Rattus norvegicus: one gene and its partners. The protein of the gene in region 1 interacts with the protein of each later gene in a pairwise test. Links are inferred from orthologs where the notes say so. Each region holds a gene or a part of one and is shown on either strand. Other genes may lie near its edges.

What was found.
Region 2: the proteins of Trim54 (region 1) and Arhgef5 interact in binary tests that used the Homo sapiens proteins (3 or more experiments, as listed by UniProt). The two-hybrid records come from large-scale screens. The link is inferred for Rattus norvegicus from reciprocal best matches to the Homo sapiens genes TRIM54 and ARHGEF5.
Region 3: the proteins of Trim54 (region 1) and Fam110a interact in binary tests that used the Homo sapiens proteins (3 or more experiments, as listed by UniProt). The two-hybrid records come from large-scale screens. The link is inferred for Rattus norvegicus from reciprocal best matches to the Homo sapiens genes TRIM54 and FAM110A.

The regions. Positions count from the first base shown.
Region 1 is NC_086024.1:30,974,251-30,980,814, forward strand, and holds the start of Trim54 (tripartite motif-containing protein 54), read right to left. Parts: upstream 4,226-6,564; 5' UTR 4,042-4,225; coding exon 3,874-4,041; intron 1-3,873. UniProt on the Homo sapiens protein: May bind and stabilize microtubules during myotubes formation.
Region 2 is NC_086022.1:73,096,358-73,102,339, forward strand, and holds part of Arhgef5 (Rho guanine nucleotide exchange factor 5), read left to right. Parts: coding exon 1-1,070; intron 1,071-1,600; coding exon 1,601-1,658; intron 1,659-2,187; coding exon 2,188-2,252; intron 2,253-2,458; coding exon 2,459-2,712; intron 2,713-5,551; coding exon 5,552-5,712; intron 5,713-5,982. UniProt on the Homo sapiens protein: Guanine nucleotide exchange factor which activates Rho GTPases. Strongly activates RHOA. Also strongly activates RHOB, weakly activates RHOC and RHOG and shows no effect on RHOD, RHOV, RHOQ or RAC1.
Region 3 is NC_086021.1:160,933,806-160,939,787, reverse strand, and holds the end of Fam110a (protein FAM110A), read left to right. Parts: exon of another isoform or gene 1-42; coding exon of another isoform or gene 43-452; exon of another isoform or gene 453-815; intron 816-932; exon of another isoform or gene 933-1,066; intron 1,067-1,821; exon of another isoform or gene 1,822-1,993; intron 1,994-2,080; exon of another isoform or gene 2,081-2,379; coding exon of another isoform or gene 2,380-2,393; intron 2,394-3,442; coding exon of another isoform or gene 3,443-3,518; coding exon 3,519-4,409; 3' UTR 4,410-4,973; downstream 4,974-5,982.

The sequences.
Region 1 (6,564 bases):
TTAACTCCTGGCTCCTTGTCCTCAATATGGGACTCAAAACTCACAGGCTCAAGTGATCTTTCTCACCTCAGCCTCCTGAGCGGCACCAACAAGTGTGTGCTACTGCACCTGCTCCTGCACAGATTTTGTCCCCAAATCTTCCTAGATCTCTCTGGGCCCAGATACGCTTTCTAGAGCTTTGATATTGTGCCTGGAAGAAGGAAGGCTATTCGTAGTCTGTGCTACAAACTTTATTATTCTCAAGTCAACATTCTCGAGTTTGTTTGTTAGACAGGGTCTCGCTACAGAGTCTTGACTGGCCTGGAACTTGGAATAGACCCACCTGTCTCTGACTCTTGAGTGCAGGGGTTAAAGGCATGTGCTGCCATGTCCAGCTCTGGGCTACTTTTTACAGAATACTTTTCTTAGTTTTCTAAACTTCTCTTTGGCTTCACATATTTTGGCTTCTAATAGCGAGATACCTCAGGGCCAGGGAGACAGCTCAGTGGGTAAAGGTGCCTGTCGCCAAGCCTGACGACCTGAGGTTCAATCCCCGCCTTCCACAGAGTGGAGGGAGAAAACTTATTCCTCCCAACGTGAGCCATGGGGAGGCATAGCCACTTACACAGAACTAGCTATGCAGCACAGGCTGGCCTCGAACTCGTGACAATCCTGCTGCTTCAGCCTCCTGGATACTAGGATTACAGGAGTACACCACCACAGGTGGCAAGAAATTTGTGTTTTATTTGTTGGTTTGAGACAGGGTCAGAACAACATGCAATCTAGGCCCCAAGACAGAGAAATCCAGGCCTCTAGTCCCAAACAATAGCAAGTTTAGATGCTCAGAATAAAAGGAACCCTGAAGAGGACAATGGAAGGAGAAATTCTGGGGTGTTGGCTACTCAGTGAAGGAGCAGAAGACAGATGGGGCATACACACATGCTATGATGTCCTAACTTAGCCCAATCGTTGCCTTCAAATATGCTGTACCAAGAAACCTGGAGGCCTAATCTCAGTGAAGCTAAGATCCACTGAGGAGGTGGGAGAGGCAGCCTGGCAGTTGCTAGCACACGCTGCTCTTTCAGAGGGCTAGAGTCTGGTTCCCAATACCTACATAATCGCTCACAAACACCTACAACTCCAGCCCCAGGGCACCTAAGACACTCTTCTGGCTTCCATGGGCACCTGTATGCACAGGCATGTGCACACATATGGATGGCAAATAAATATTTAAAAACAATAGCCTGTATGGGGCTTGTGGTATAGGTCAGTGGCAGGATGCATGCACACAAGGCCCTGGTTAACCACAGCACCAGAGGAAGGAAGAGGGGGGAGGGGAATCTGTGCTCAACTCATTTCCTCACACTGTGATAAGGAGGGAGAACTCTTACTCTTCTACTTTAAAGATTTATGTTGTGTGTATGTATTTTGCCTGCATGCATGGTGTCCATGGGGGTCAGAAGGGGGCATCAGAGCCCCTGGAACTGGAGTTACAGATGGTTGCGAGCCACCACGTGGATGCTGGGAACTGGACTTGGGTTGGTTGGGAGAGCAACAAATGCTCTTGACCACCGAGTCCTCTCTTCAGCCCCAGACAGTTATCTTTTCCTCTTTTGAGACGGGTCTTACTCTACAGGTATACAGGTATACTTGCTACATAGAGCAGGCTAGCCTCCAGCCTGTGGTGCTCCTTCCTCGCTGGATCCCAGGCTGGCTCCTGGCAAGAAGTGTATTCCTGGTGTTCCCATCACAGATTGCCCACCAGGAGAGCCAGCTCTGAGGAATCCAGGTTACTTCATCTGTGAGGTCCGGTGTCTGTACATGTGAGTTCTGTTCCTTCATTCTCCCTGACCTCTGATGCAGTCATAAACTACTCAGACCTCTACCAAGACACAGAGCCAGGAGGCAAGCCTAGGAACTTATAAAGGACTCTGGTTTATTTATTTAGTTAGTTGGTTAGTTAGTTAGTTGGTTAGTTAGTCAGTCAGTTGGTTAGTTAGTTGGTTAGTTAGTTAGTCAGTTGGTTGGTTAGTTGGTTGGTTGGTTAGTTAGTTGATTAGTTAGTTGGTTAGTTAGTTAGTTGGTTAGTTAGTTAGTTGGTTAGTTAGTTGGCTAGACAGCGTCTTATGCAGCCCAAGCCAGCCTTAACCTCCCAAGGGCTGGGTTTGCAGCCGTGCTCAGCTCTTCTGTTTTTGCGTTGGAGATGTGTAGATAAAATAGTGCTGTGACTTCACCTAGTTATGCTTGGCCTCATGACCACAGACACCCAGGCATTTCTGGGAAGTACAATTTTGTTTCTGCCGTCTGTCTGTCTGTCTGTCTGTCTGTCTGTAAGTCGCCTGGATACCATTTATCTCCTACTAGGTCAGGAAGGATCACCGGTGTGAAACTGGAGAGAATGTTCCTGCTGTGGCCCACTGTGTCTTATCAGACCCCTCAGGGACAGAGGGCTCTGCCTCAAATACACACAGTTCTGTTGGTATGGAAGGATTTCTCACCGGTTTACCAACAATTTTTTTTTTTTTTTTTGGTTCTTTTTTTCGGAGCTGGGGACTGAACCCAGGGCCTTGTGCTTGCTAGGTAAGCGCTCTACCACTGAGCTAAATCCCCAGCCCCAACAATTTTTAATTTTAGTTTTCTCTTTCTTATTTACTTTTTGAAACGGTCTTGTTTTGTTGCCCAAGTTGGATCAGAATTCACTATGTAAATAAGGTGACACTTGCTAGCATGGCAGCGATGTCTCTAATCCCAGTACGAGAGAGGCAGAGGCAAGAGGATCTTCTGTGAGTTCAAGGTCAGCCCGGTTTGAATAGTGAGCTTCAGGACAGCCGCCAGGGTTACAGAGACCCTGACTCAGAAACAAAACCAAACAATGACAATCCCCTTGTTTTAGCCTCCCAAGTGCTCGAATTACAGGCATACATACACCACCACACCAGGTTATTGTTTAAAGTGTGTGTGTGTGTGTGTGTGTGTGTGTGTGTGTGTGCGCCTGTCTGTCTGTGTTCATATAAGTGAAGGTCAGAGGTCAACTTTTGTGAGTCAGTTCTCTCTTTCCATCATTTATGTTTTGGGAATCAAACTCAAGTTGAGGTCTGGTAGCCACACTAGCTAACACACACACACACACACACACACACACACACACAGAGAGAGAGAGAGAGAGAGAGAGAGAGAGAAAGATCTCAATATATCCTTGATCTTTTCTCCAGAGTTTGTTTAAAAAAATTTATCTCTCTCTCTCATATGTGTGTGTGTTTGTATATGTATATGTATATACATATACATATAAAAGCCTCAAAATGAATGAAATCTAGTCCAAGCTCCCACTAAGCCCATGCGAGACCATCGATCTTCCTTTCCAGTTTCTGCTGTGCTGGGTGGACCCCACTTTCTAGTTGCTGTAGACACAGGTTATGCTTACCAGCCTCAGGGTAGCTGCTGACTCATGCTGACTCTGGGACCTTACTCTGGGACCTTACTCTGGGACCCTCAACTCTCCTGCCTCTCAGCCAGGGCAGTTTCACCGGCTCCCAGGGGTGGGCTCTCCCCCACCATCCGCCACCTGTCCCCCACCTGTCCCCCACCGTCCCCCACCGACCCCCACCATCCCCCACCTGTCCCCCACCATCCCCCACCTGTCCCCCACCATCCCCCACCTGTCCCCCACCACCCCCCACCTGTCCCCCACCATCCCCCACCTGTCCCCCACCTGTCCCCCACCGACTCCCACCGTCCCCCACCGTCCCCCACCATCCCCCACTTGTCCCCCACCTGTCCCCCACCTGTCCCCCACCGACCCCCACCTGTCCCCCACCATCCCCCACCTGTCCCCCACCTGTCCCCCACCGACCCCCACCTGTCCCCCACCGTCCCCCACCTGTCCCAGCCCACCTGGAAGACGTCGTTGGCACACTTGCGGCACAGGTTGTGTTGGCACGGCAAGATCACCACGGGCTTGGAGAACATCTCCAGGCAGATGGGGCAGATGAGCTGCTTCTCCAGGTTGTCCATGTTGTGTGCATCCCCCAGCAGCGGCTTGAAACCCACCGTGAAGTTCATCCCGCGGTGCTCTGGTGCCTTGCTGTGGCCCTGTTGCTGGCCTTCTCTCCCCCTGCCTGCGCGCCCTTCCGCTGTCAGTTTAGGCTGACTGTAGATTCTTGGGATCCCTGATATTGCTCCCTCTGGAAAGAGCGGTGCTTCCTGTCCCTTCCTCTAACAGCTCCTCTCTCCCTGGGCTATTTCCAGACACTCTGTCTGCTCGGAACCCTCACCAGGCACTTGTAGTTTATCTCTCTCTCCCTGTGAGATTCTCCTCCTGTCTCCCCAAACCACCCTCTTGCTCGCTCTGCGGGCAGCACTGTTTGTTCCTCCCGAGAGAGACTAATGTTACTGTGGGGGTGGGGACACAGGGGCACCGCTGTGACATTCCAGTTCCCAATTTAGCTCATGTAAGGCGAGACACAGCTGTCCCAGACTGAGTGGCCATGACTGTCAGGAATGGGTGGCCAGTGGCGTGTGGGGCTCTATCGCTGTCACTGAAAAGGCTCCTCCGAACACTGGTCTCCGTGCTCTGGCTTGGGACCTTCTTCCAAACAGAAACGCAGTGTAAACTAGCCTGTGGGAGAGGTGCCATACCTGGGCCCAGGTGGGGGGCAAGACCTGGACAGACCTGTAGACTGCGTCATCGCTTCCTCTACAGGCTTAGCCAGTGACCCGGCCCTCCTCCATGATTCAGAAGTGGAACGGCAGACCAGAGAGAGAGAGAGAGAACATCTTGTTCCATATGTCTGCCCCGTATTTGTTCTTGCCCAGCCTTTATATAAAAAAGCAACCCTACACTTATTTACTTAGGGGGAATGGTGGGTGCAACCTGGAGCACAAGTGGAAGTCACAGGACAAAAGAAAATTCTTTTTCTGCAGCATGTGCCAGAAATCCAACTCAGGTCCTCAGAACTGGTGACAAGTGGCTTTCCCCAGAGAACAATCTCTTCCTTCTCCCTTATTAAAGACAGGTTCTTGAGTAGGACAGGCTAGCTTTGAACTCATTCTCGCCATGGATGACCTTGAACTCCTGATCCTCTTGCCTCTACATCCGATGTGCTGGGTTGAGGGGAAAGCACCATTATCCCCATTTATGTGGTGCTGGGGGTCAACTCGGGGTCTCAAGCATGCTGGAGAAGCATTCTGCTAACTGGGCTACGTCACCAGCCCTTGGCTCGCCCTTGTGGCATCATCCTAGGAGAGCAGCTCAAAGGCAAGAGGTGGCTGCTGTACCAGGCCCAGACCTGCCTTAGGATTATGACGTGAGAGCGTGTGATTCTGGTCCACAACTACATTAGTCCATTGCAAGGATGCTAAATTTGCTTAAACCTGAAACAAGCATAGACTGGTGATGCCTCAGTGACCGGGAGAGCCTGCTGTTCAATCATGAGGACTGGAGTTCAAATCCCAGCACTCATACCCATCTGTAATAGTAACTCCAAGAGACTCAGCGCCCTTCATGGGCTCACAGACACGTGCACATAGACATTTACACGGACACATGCATGCAGATGCTCACACAGACACACATAAAGAAAAAGAAAAAAAAAGTTTTGAGAAATGGATCTGACTGGAAAAATTCTGCATCTTGGAAAGTTATTTGTACCCAAGCGAATCGCTCTGCAGAGAGGTCATAGGACACTGCCAAAGCCACCACCATCAGGCTCTGGGCATCATTGACTCCCAGCTCCACAGTGACCACAGTACTCACCATGCCAGCCTCATCCCAGGCATGAGAGCTAGTCATTGGTCTCTTTCTATCCCACACACACCGGAATTGGACAAAGCTTTTTTTTTTTTATTATTGATATTCTTTAGCCTTTCTCCCAGTGAGTACAGAGAGGTTTGACGGTTCGTTCCTAGGCTGTGACCCCACATGGGTAAGAAAGAAAAGATAAGGAGGGATACAGAGAGGATGCCAAGCACAGAGGGGCTAAATGACATATCCTGCGAGGTCTGTCCCCGTCACATTTCATGTCCCTGTGCTAAGAACAAGAGATAAGAGGATCGCCCTGCGTGAAGTATCGTGAAGGACAGAGGCAGCAGGACTGGAGCATGGGCTGCAGCCCGTCCACAGGACCACAGCCAAAGTCCAAGGGGAAGCCACAAACACAAATTTCCCAAGCTGTCTTACGAGTGGGATGTCAATGCCAGGGGTGTAGGTGCCAGAAGATGGTGAGACCAGCCTTCCAAAGGTGTTGCAAAGAAATGAGGCTGGTGCTAAAAGGTATGCAGTGTTCCAACAAAGGAGAATCAATTGGTCCAACAGCTCTTGGGATGGGAGCCACCTTGTTTGGTGATCAGGATCTTGGTGGAGTTACTGGTAAGTGCTCATGGGCCTACCCAACACTGACCCAGGCACCCACTGGAGAGAGCTGCACACACTCAGCCAACAGTTGCCAACACAGCTTGAGGGCTCATGTGGATAAAGACAGGAGTGAAGCTAAAAAGAAGAGCAGCCAGAAGGTTCTGTGGGGACAGGTTCTGTGGCACTGTGGAGGGCAGAGTTGTCCTTACGAGGATGTCATCATAGCTTCTGAA
Region 2 (5,982 bases), on another chromosome or scaffold:
CTCCCCACAGAACTCAGCCTTTGCCATAGGCTCTCCTGTGAATGTTTCTTCTCCACCCACTGTTTCCATGGATATGATACATGAAGCTTTGCCCCCTCCTCCCCCAGAGAAGAGACATAGCTACAGTCACATAGTGGAAAGAGATGGCCTTTTTCATGAAGTAGCTGCCACACTGAAGCGGCATAGTCATCCTCCTCCATTGACCCTAAGTTCAGGGCTCCATAGGTCTCCTAAAGGCTCATTTTCCCTAGTTCCTGACTCTGTTGTTGCAAGGCAGCACCGCCCTCTGCCATCCACCCCAGAAGGCTCCCACCATACTCAGACCTCCATCCCCTCCAGGCTGAGATACAACAAACCATTACCCCCAACTCCTGATATGCCTGAGCCCTGCCATTCATCCATCTCTTCCTCTAATATCTCAAGGATATACAGGCCTCTACCCCCAGTCCCTATCACAGATCCTTCCTCTGAACCACCCCCATTACCCCCAAAGTCCAGGGAAAGAAGCAGGAGTGTCCAGGTAGGAGTTATGCATTCAATGGGTCAAGCCAACCCAAGAACTACTGGTCAAGATTGGACAGTTTCTACTCTCTCTGTTGGACGGACCTCCTGGCCCCCAGCCACAGGCAGATCAACAGAATCTTTGCCTCCCACCAGTAGGTGTAATAGTGAAGTGTCCCCTGGTCTGGCTTTCAGCAACATGACAAACCTTCTAAGTCCCTCTTCCCCTACTACTCCTTGGAGCCCAGAGCTTCAGATACCCACCAGTAAGGATGAGTCAGGGCTCACTGAAGAGTCTGCACCTCCAGTGAGAGGATCATTTAGGAGGCCAGCCCTTCAGGAGGAATTTAATAATACAAGGAGATCAGCTTTAGGATCAAGAAAGAAGTCAGAAAAACCTATCCACTACCAACTGGAAAAGGCATCCAGCTGGCCTCACAGACGGGATACAGCAAGGACATCAGAGAGTAGCAGTGAACAGGTTGTCCTGGGCCAGGCACCCAACAAGCAAAAGGGCTGGAACCGGCAGGGCCTTCGTAGACCTTCAATTTTGCCTGAGAGCTCTTCAGGTAAGTCAGGAGCAGAGACAACAGAACCATTAATGTTATACAAAGCTTTTTATTCTAAATCTTCCATCTGAGGGATCTCTACTGCTCTCTCTGCAGCGTCATTCCCCTGCATCACATAGTCAACTCAGAAACTCACGACCCACTATGATCCCATTAGAATGTTCCCCCTCATTTTTTACTTTTCCGTCTCCTATTTCCCCTGAAGTCCACCTCTTCCTGAAGTTGCTAGACTCCCTCCATTGCTATACCATCACGTTCTCCCCTTTGAAAATCTTAAAGTGCCCTTTCTTTGTGCTTTTCCTATCTTGCATGAAGACTGGGGAGCATAGCTAATATATCTTCTGGAATTCCTATCCCGACATGAGGACCAGTGACGCATGGGTACTGGGTACTGGGCTTTAGAATATCTTTGGTATTGTCTTCTCTTTCAGATTCCAGTAGAACTCTCTTTCCTTTGCTTAGCTGTGTCTCCTGTTCATCCTTTCACCTACTCTAAATGTCCCTGTTGTGCTGCCCATTTCACCTTTCAGATTTACGAAATCCAGCTGCGGGGAGACTTCCTGGCTCTTCAGATTCTGTTGTTTTCCGGTGAGTTGCCCTGTCTTCTCGCTAACTCAACTGTACTGTCTTCATTTATGACACTAAGATTTCCTTACTAAGAATTCTGTGGACAAAGATTCTGGGACCCAGAATTGTTGGTGCTTCTATGTCCAGAAGGTAAGGAGAGGAGGAAAGAGGCATCAGGATTGCAGGGAAGGAAGGCGTTTGTACCTGCCCAGTTCTGCCTGCTGTGTCTGATGAGTTACCTGTTGTCTTCCTAAGGCATATGGTTATCCATCAGTCTCCTTCACATACTATCCAAATGACCCCTGAGTTACAAAGTAGAGTTACTGTTTGAGATACCCTACTGCATTTCTAAGTTCTCGCCAAGTCCTCAGGGTCTCTCATGGACTGTGGGATAAGGGAGAAGGGTTGAATGGAAGGACCAGTGATGGGGACAGACTGAAGTAGCTTTCCTTCAGCACGTGTATGGAAGGTTAGAGTTTTTAATCTAAAGTCACTTGGGGGTCTGCTGTCTCACAGTCAGTAAATATCTCAAAGCCTGCCTATTCCACAGGGAGAAGAAACCAAAGGAGGGGATGGGAGGTTTTTCAAGACGTTGCTCCAAGCTCATCAACTCCTGTGAGTACTTTAAAACAGATCTATAGACTAGTGTGTGCTTTCTGCCTAAAATGGGTCAGGGCCTCACGACTGCCAGCAATTGAATGGTGGTATACAGAGAAAAGGGTTGCTAGAGGTCAGCCATAGATGGCAGTGTCTGGCAGTGAGCTTCTACTCACTTCGTTTTCTTAGGATTTTCTCCTTTTCTTATTCATCTTCACCCATAGCTCAGCTGCTTTATCAGGAGTATAGTGATGTTGTTCTCAACAAGGAGATTCAGAGCCAGCAGCGGCTAGACAGCCTGGCCGAGCCACCTGGGATCTCTTCCCCACGATATCGGCGAAAGGCACTGGTCTCTTCAGACTCCTACCTACAGCGCCTCTCCATGGCCTCCAGTGGCTCCCTCTGGCAGGAAATCCCTGTGGTGCGCAATAGCACAGTGCTGCTCTCCATGACCCACGAAGATCAAAAACTGCAAGAGGTACCACCAGGGATGCGCAAGGGAAAGTTGGGGAAACAAAGTCATATTCACTTATGTTTTATCTCCTCCTCACCTCTGCCACCATGAACAGGCTGTCCCCACCCCACACTCACCTGTTTACACAGTGACTGCTCACTGCCATGCTGAAGAAGTGTAGTGCCCTAGAATTTCAGCATAGTCCTTCTTCCCCTGCTCGTGCATGTGCCATCTACTCTTTCCTGTCCTGGCTTGGACTCATACAGAGTGACCATGCCTGTTGAGAGGGGTGTGAGAGTAACTTCATTGCTGATAATCTCCTTTCCACATCTACAATGTTTCAGACAAGCCACATGTTCATTTGTGCTGGCTCCTTTGAAGAGGACAAACTGGAAGTTGTCCTTTGGTTCTTGGATCTCACTTAGGCTTTATCCCTGCTTGGTCATCCCCAGGATTAAGATTTCAGGAGACACTGCTTCTCTGGTTCTAAGCAGTGACCATTAGTAAGTTTTTCATGGGCAGATTCTGCCTTCATATTTGTCTGAAGGAAGAGGTAGAACTTTTCATCCCAGGAGAAAAGAGGGCACAGTGGGATAGAGTAATATCTAAGTAATTGGGTTCTATAACAATGATGGAGACATGATGCCTTTGTTAATATGTGTTGTTTGACTTTGGCCAAATCACTTGCTGTCTCCAAGCCATTTGTAAGACAGATACAAAGAGTTACTAGGAGAACAAGAAAGATAAATGTTTACTTCAGAACAGTCAGTCGGAAAATATTGACTATTTGAATTTAAACGATGTAGGCCTAGCTTCAACTAGTGAGATAATCTTGGATAAGCTATAATTTCACTACAAGTTTTAAAATACAGCTGTTTAGAAAATCACTAACCTGTCCTATATTTATTGATCAAATAATGGAAAGATGAAATGAGATCTCTGAGTCTTCATCGAGCTAGGAAGTCACAAGGACCCTGATTCTAGCCCCGATCCCTCTTGACTTTGCAAGAAGAGAGACCTCTGTCTTACCACCTCATACATACATATTAAGTTAATAAAATAGCATCTTGGGAATCTACAGAGTTCCTTCACAGACTCTATTCCTTTTGAAAATCGTGTTTTCTGAAGTGTGTTTGTGGTGGTGGGGTAGTCACCCTATCTATATAAAAAGACAAAACAACAACACAGAGATCCCAAGTTTCAGAAGGTTAAATGGGCTACTTTAAGCCATGTGGTGTTTGATGGTTACGTTGTGAATAAGCCTGCAGTAGCATGGTTTAGGGTTGTATAGAAAGTTCAGCTGTTGGACTGAACAAGGGGACCCCAATGGAGGAGTTAGAGAAAGGACTGAAGGAGCTGAAGGAGTTTGCAACACCATAGGAAGAACAACATCAACCAACCAGACCCCATCAGAGTTCTCAGGGACTAAACCACCAACCAATGAGTACACATGGAGGGACCCATGGCTCCAGCCGCCTATGCAGCAGAGGATGGCACTGTCCACCATCAATGTGAGGAAAAGCCCTTGGTCCTGTGAAGTTTCGTTTCCCCAATGTAGGGTAGTGCCAGGCATTGAGGTTGGGTGGGTGGGTGGGAGTGGGAGCATCCTTAGAGAAGCAGGAAGAGGGGTATGGGAGGGGGAGGGGATAACATTTGAAATGTAAATACATAAAATATTCAAGAAAAGTAAAATTAAAAAAAGAAAGTCAAGCTGTATAGCTGGCTATTTCATCGACCAGCAAGGGACGCCTATTTTACTTTTCTCCGAGTGGCCTGAGTGACCATGCTGAGAAGGAAAAGAGGTCCACTGGTCACGTCTGTGAGTCACTGCGCCCCCTGCTGGAGCCTCCGTGCACATTCTTAAGTGCTGACTCCCTTCTAAACCACAACTGTAGCATCCTCTTTGACATATCCCGTTTCTTTTTATTCCCATCTCTCCTCAGACATCAAATTGAGCTTGTCACCTTCCTCTGTCCCTGACTCAGAGCTCTCTGGCTTAGTCCATGATTCCATCATCTAACCCAACCCATTGCCTAATCAAAAGTAGGGTGTTGGCCTCTGCTCCTTCTCTTTACGCCCCACTTCTAGCAAATAAGCAGCATCTTCCAAGTCCTGTTTGATGACTCGAGAAACCCACTTCTCCACAGGCGTATGAGTGACAGGCCTTCGTCTCCCATCGAGACATGTTACCCCACTTCCCAGCATGGCGCTTACCTATTCTGGACTTTTCCACAGGTTGCTAAAAGGTGTTCTCATTCAAAAACAAAACAAAACAAAACAAACCCAAAAAGTGACTCAGCTAGATGAACGATTCTACCTTTTCACATCTCGTTAAGCTTACGTGCTGCATTGTTTACATGGTCCACCAGGCCTCATGCCTCGTTCCTACTCCTCCCCCTCACTCTACCCCCCAACCCCCAGCTTCATTTTTATTTTTTCTTTTCTTTTTCTTTTTTAAATAAAAGTTCTAGAAATGCTCAACTTATTTGTTACTTTTCTAAAAGTAAACTTCATTGTGTTTGAAATATTAGCTACTTATTATGAGTCTCTTTGTTGGTAAAATTGTTACTATCATATGGTATATTAATATACCTGTGATATCATAGAGTTATTTATGTATGGGTATGAATGTATCTTTAAGTTTCTTGAAAACATAAAGGCTCTGTTCATGTTATTCAGCCCCTGATTGACTCTGTCATATTCAAATACTCCTTGTACCCCTCCCAGACTAAGTTTTATTACTGTGAGTGATCAAAAGATGTAGCTAATTCAGTGCTCAACCCTAAAACATTGTTCAGCAACTTCCATCTACCAGACACTTCATAAAAGTATTCCTTAATCTTCCTCTTTTCCAATTGTCTAGGCCAAGTTTGAGCTGATTGTGTCCGAGGCATCTTACCTGCGCAGTCTAAACATAGCAGTAGACCATTTCCAACACTCAACCCAGCTGCGGGCCACCCTGTCCAACCAGGATCATCAATGGCTCTTCTCTCGTTTGCAGGATGTACGAGATGTCAGCACCACGTGAGACTTCTTCCAAACTCCAATCTATCAACCTTGCTATTCTTAGCCATTGAGGTTTCAGCTACTTTTGTCCCATGTAGAAACCTTCACTTTGTCAGAGTCTCTGGATAAAAGTGGGGCCTGGGCTCCCTCCATGATTCCTTCAGGGGTAAGAAGGGGAATAAGAGGAACTAAGAGGACAGAGTATGCAAGTTCACAGGTCTATTAATATAGACGAATGAGAAGTGCTTCCTGGCTTGAGATTTTGCCTACATTCTGGGTGTCTATTGC
Region 3 (5,982 bases), on another chromosome or scaffold:
TGACTCAGCCTGGCCTGACTGGGGTTTCCATTAGTCAGCTTGATGACAATGGAGTTGCCTCATAGGAAGCCTACCCAGACCACACTAATGCTCACTGCACCTCGTTTAATCACGGAAAGATTAAAAGCCCAGAAAGAGCACTTTCCCGTGCCTGGCCGGGGACATCAGAGAGAACCCAGCCCAATTCCATCAGCTGTGTTGCCGGCTGTACAGGCTCCAAGTCGCATAAGAGCCCGGCTGGGTGAGCCTGGGGGCGCTATTCCGGCTAGGTTTCCACACCGGGCTGTCTGTCGCCCATTTCGGTCACTGCCTGGCCCTCCTTCCCTCTCCTGGAACACTCCCAGCCGGCAGGTTCACCTGCCAGGCCCCGGAAATTGCGCAAAAGCCAGCTACCTGAACCAGGTGGGCGGGAGGCGTGCAGGCTGCTGGAAGGAGGCGGCTTGCACAGCCAGGTATGTTGCGGTGCTTGGGGGTGAGGGGCACATCAGGGATTGTCTTCAGTCTGTATTCGAGCCGAGGGCCGACTCCTGCTCAGAGAGAGATAGCAGATGAGGGGAGGGGGGTCACACAGTCTTAGCTCAGCTCAAGCCTCACCGCCTGAGTCTCCAGGATTGCCTCCAAGTGAGGACGACTCGAAACCAAAACTAGGGGCTTTCCTGGAGCCCTGATCTACTTACTCCTTGGGAGCCTGAGGGAGGGACGAAGTCGGGCTACGGCACTGGAATAGTGACCAGAAAGGCTCAAGGTTGGTGCTTTTCGGACCATTTGCGGCAGCATTTGGAAGCCCGCGGTGAAAAGAGACCTCAAGGGAGACGTTAAATCTCATTTGGCGACCGGGATCTTAGTTTCCTCTTGGAGGGGCCCCTGTGACGTGTGTTGGTGCGGATCGGCTGGCTCATTGTGATTAGCTCTTACCAGCTGTCTCCTTTGTCCCTGCTGGGCTTAGGTCCTGCCCTCCAGGATCGGACTTAGAGACCCTCGGAGGGGGCGGAGTCTGCCAACTCCACAGTCAGAGCCTCAGTTTATGACAGTGCGTCTGGTTTCGGGAGCGCTGCCCATTTTTCAGGTGCTGCGAACCCGTTTGATCTTTCCAGCGGTGACCCGAAGGCACAGGGAGGTCTATTTTTAACTGGGTTTAATAGGTAGAGGAACAGTCTTTTAAGAGCTGCCTCTTGTGCGAGGTGCAAGGCTGGTGGGAGAACGGGGACCCTGGTGTCTACCAGACCAGGCTTGGGAACACAATCTGCCTCCCCCCCATTTCTTTGTAGTGTTAGGTGGTGGGTATAAAAGCAAGGTGCTGGTGGGGGGAGCTTCTGCCCTAGCCCTGCCCCTCTGACCTCCTTCCTCTTTCCCAGGTGATGTCGGGGAGGGAACTGCCTCAGCCACCACCAACGGGTTGGACTGGTTTGGGTGGCAGAGCAGATGTGGGGGCTAGGGAGGTGAGGCAGGATCTGGCTACCTGAACAGGACTCTTAACAGTTCTGCTGGCTAGACCTAAACCACTTAAGGTCAGTTGAGGGTCTGTTTGTGTGGGCCAGCCTTCTTTTTCTGCCCAACAACCTCTTAAGCCTTGGGAGAAGCCTTCCTCCTATCCCCCAAAACTTCCGTGGGGGCTGGGGAGAGCAGATAGATCTGTAGACATACTATGCTTGCCCTGTACTACTTGTCGTTTTAAAATGGTGATGGAATTTGCTCACAGTTAAAAACCTAGAGAAAGCTAGTCTTGGTTTGCTGGTGCTAGTGACACTCCACCCCTCACCCTGGACCTATCCGCCTGTGGTGGGCGGGGCCACTCTAGTTGACTGGTGTGCTGGTCCTCAGCTGACTCCCGTGAGCATTTTAGTTCAGGACACACTTGTGGAATATCTAGCATGTGTTGAGAGCCACATCATGAAGCTGAGACTCAGTGAACAAAGCAGCCAAAACCTGTGCCCTCGTGGAGCTGACATTTTTGGAGTTGGGGACAGCAAAGAAAGAAAGATTCATATCCACAGTAAGTTATATGGTACCAATGGATATAGTGAGACGAGATATAGGGTGTGTGTGTGTGTGTCTGTCTGTCTGTCTGTCTGTGTGGTACGTGGAGAAGTGATGTGGTAGGAATTAGTGTGTTCAAGCTAGGCTTCATGGGAGTCTGCTTTTTAAATCTCTGTGACCTAAGGAAGTCACTTCCCAGAGTCTCAGTTTTCCCAGCTACAAAATGGTAACAGTGGCTTTCAGGCTCTTGGAGGTGGTAGGAAAGTAGCTGTGAGCGTCTGGCACACAGGCACACAGTGGAGAGCGTTGTCTTGAGATGTCTGGCTGTTCCGGTGAGGCTCTTCTGTGTTTGGGCATGCTCTGGCCCAGTCTGTCTGGTATAGTACCACGTCCCATGTGACCATGGAGAACTTGAGGTATGGCTAGTGGCTGCTGAGTGATCTCAACTGCAGATGCCCTTGGTTTGGAATATGGGTTTTACCTTGTGCATATTTGAGGGGCCTTGGGTATGGGGAAACTGGCACTTTCTGACCCTCTTTCCTTGGAAACAGAGATGGCAGGGTTGACTTGCTGTAATGGTCTAACATCTGACTCTTAGATAACCATGGGGACACTTGAGCACCCAGACATGGGCCCTGCAGCCCATGAGCACTGTCATGGTGGTTGGTCAGCAGCATAACACTTGGTGGGGCTGTGACCTGGATAGGTCTTTGCACCGGCATAGCTTGGGGCTGATGTTTATGCCTGTCCACATGCCTGGATCTCCATGGGCTTGGCCTTGAAGCCATATCTTGGAAACTACCCTAATCTGGACTCTACGGGGTGGGGGTGGGGCCTTTCTGCCTCTCTCTCTCACAGCCTTTTGTTTTTGTGCCCCTTGTGGGCCTGGCATGTCCAGGCAGGTGGTTGGCACTGCGCAGCTTCCTGCCTGGGCTAGTTGCGGGATGTTGGTGGTATCTGGATCTCTGTGCAGTTCAGGTGGGATGTGGATGATGGTCATTCAACCCCAACTGCCCGGTCGCTAGTAGCCCCCTCTCTTGGAAGTAAGGGGTGGCTTAAGCAAACCCATTGCCCCTCGAGCTTCAGTTTCCCAACCCCTAAATGGAGCCATTGAGAGGACCCCCTTTTTTTTCTTTTCTTTTTTTCGGAGCTGGGGACCGAACCCAGGGCCTTGCACTTCCTAGGCAAGCGCTCTACCACTGAGCTAAATCCCCAACCGAGAGGACCCTTTTTAAAGTGGACCTGGCTTCTCTACCACTTTTCTCTCCCTCAGCTGTGCGGGTCCCGCCCACTATTGGAGGGAAATGCCGTGGGTGGGGCCATAGGCCTTCCCGGAGTACATTTTGCCTGGTGATTGGCTCTGTGAGAGGCAGGGGCGTGTCCTTTACCTTATAATAGCTCAGGCTTCGCCGCCAGTGAGCCTTTGTCTGAACGTGCTCAGCCTGTCTTCTTTCGTTGCTTGCAGCGGAGCCCCGTATCCAGCTGCCAACTTTGTGCCTGTATCTGTCTTCTCGCCTCTGCCCTCGGGGTATGTAACGGCCATGCCCGTGGACACGCTGAGCCCGGGAGCCCCCACCACTCCCGCTTTACCTTTTCGCCTGCGAACCAAGGTCCCCGGCTACCTGCTACCAAGGCCAGCAGATGGGGGAGCCAGGAAACCGAGTGCTGTGGAACGCCTGGAGGCTGATAAGGCTAAGTACGTCAAGAGCCTGCGCGTGGCCAACACCCGCCAAGAACCTGTGCAGCCCCCGCTCGCCAGGCAGCCCCTCTTCAGCCCAGGTTCTCGCGGCCCAGTGCTCACACCCAGTCGCCGAGTCCTGCCCTGTTCTGGTCGCCGGCCCCAACTGGACCTAGACATCCTTAGCAGCCTAATCAACCTGTGTGATAGTCCCGTGTCCCCATCTGAGGCCAACCGAACACCTGGACGGCCAGAAGGATCTGCCCACAAGGTCCCACCAGCCACCCCTCCTCGTCCGCCTCCTAGTACTGTCGCTGTGCGCCGAGTGGATGTTCGTCCCCTGCCTGCTTCACCAGCTCGCCCCTATCCATCACCTGGCGCCGCTACCACTTCCAGCCCGGGCCGGCCCCCTGGTCTGCAACGCTCCAAGTCGGACCTGAGTGAGCGCTTTTCCAGGGCAGCAGCCGATCTTGAGCGCTTTTTTAACTTCTGCGGCTTGGACCCAGAGGAAGCACGAGGATTGGGGGTGGCCCACCTGGCAAGGGCTAGCTCGGACATCGTGTCGCTAGCCGGGCCAAGTGCTGGACCTTGCAGCTCTGAAGGGGGCTGCTCACGCCGCAGCTCTGCTACAGTGGAAGAGCGGACCCTAGAGCGGGTCCCCTATGGGGTGTCTGTGATCGAGCGAAATGCCCGTGTGATCAAGTGGCTGTATGGGTTGCGGCAGGCACGCGACCCTCCCACCACAGAGGGCTAGGCCTCCTGGACTCAGGCCTCCTGGAAGGACATCATGAAGAGACAGTTGGCACTTTGTCCTTTCCTGTATCCATTGGCTGCCTTCCTGCAGACCCAGAGACCCTTGGGTGAATTTAGTGTAGAGGCCAAGACTTAGACCTAGACCAGCATCCTCTGGCAAGCAAGGACTGACCTGCAGAGGTTTGCTGTTGCCCTTGGCCTCCCCCACCCCCTAACAAGGTTTGTGACACAAGTATGCTTCTGCGTGGTTCCTCGGGTGAGACTGGATTTGGGCTGCTTACTCTCCACTGAGTTGGGAATCAATTGCTTTGCCAAGTCTGTCTGCCCCAGACCCTATTTCCTTCTTCCCTGTCTGTCCTCTTTTGCTGACTTCCTCTTCCTTACCCAAAGGGCCCTGGCTTCCTGGGAACTCACCCTGGGGAGGAGGTTGAAAGGATGGGGCCTGTCTGCTGCTCTTCCTGGTCTTTGGCAGTTGGCCTAGGTGGGTAGACTATAGGAGGGATTGGTTAGGAGCCTGACGCTCTGAATTATCTGTGGCTAATAAACACAAATGTTTGTTTCTCAAGGTCGGGAGCTTCGGACTCTTCTCTGTTCACAGGGGAAGAAGTGTGGGAAGTCTTGGGGTAGGGCCTTCAGAATGGAACGATTTTTGAACTAAGATCTGGTATGCAGGAGGTCAGTGACTCTTCTAAGGCAGTGCAGGCAGGCCACACCTGGGACCTCCCAGTAGCACATCCTCACCTTCTCCAGAAGCCTGCAGGCTCTTCTGTAGGTGAGGAGGCAGCCAGCCAGTGAGTGGAACCAGAGCTGAGAGTGGTTTCTTTCTGAAAGGAAGGGACTTTCAGAGAAAGGCATCCCCAGCCAAGGGATGCCCACAAGAGAAGACCCTGACTCTCAGTTACCAGGCCCCAGAGTAGGGTCTGGAGCTGAGAGGGACTTAGGCAAGAACAGCCCAGAGTGGTGGCCTTGCCTGTGACCCCAGGTGACCCTGGACAGGCCAGTCTTGTTTCTGTGCCTCAGTGGAGAGCTAGGTGGTACAAGTCTCTTGGGGTTGGGACCTTGTATTCCGGAAGGTTTGAAATGATCCGTATCCCAGTGCTTGGGCCAGCAGAGCAGCTAAGCACGGATGCTGTGGCCTCCCTTCTGTCTGCTCTCCCTGTTTAGTTTTCCCCAGTGTAGTGGAGCAACAAGGCTCCCTGGGTTCACAAAGGGTGACCTGGGGGATGGCTTGACTGCCTCCCCCCAGGGGAGGGGTCCTTGGTAGTGTTTCCTCCCTGCAGGCTGCCTTGGCTCCAGTCTTCAGAAACAGGAAACATGGGAGGTGGGTGGTGGTGACAGGTTTGATGCTGGTTTTATTTTAAGCACTAAAGAGATTTCCCGAGTTGTTGACAAACATCTGTGTCAGCATAGCTGTCTGTTGCTGCCAACCCCCAAAGTCTGGGGCAGTTGAGAGAAGGGGAACTGAGAACAGGCTCTGTTTCCCACTCCATCTGGAGATGGAGGCTGAGAAGGAGTGGGGTTGAGGAGAGATCCAGGCCAGCCACCCTGCCCCTCTGGTTTCCCTACTGGCCTTG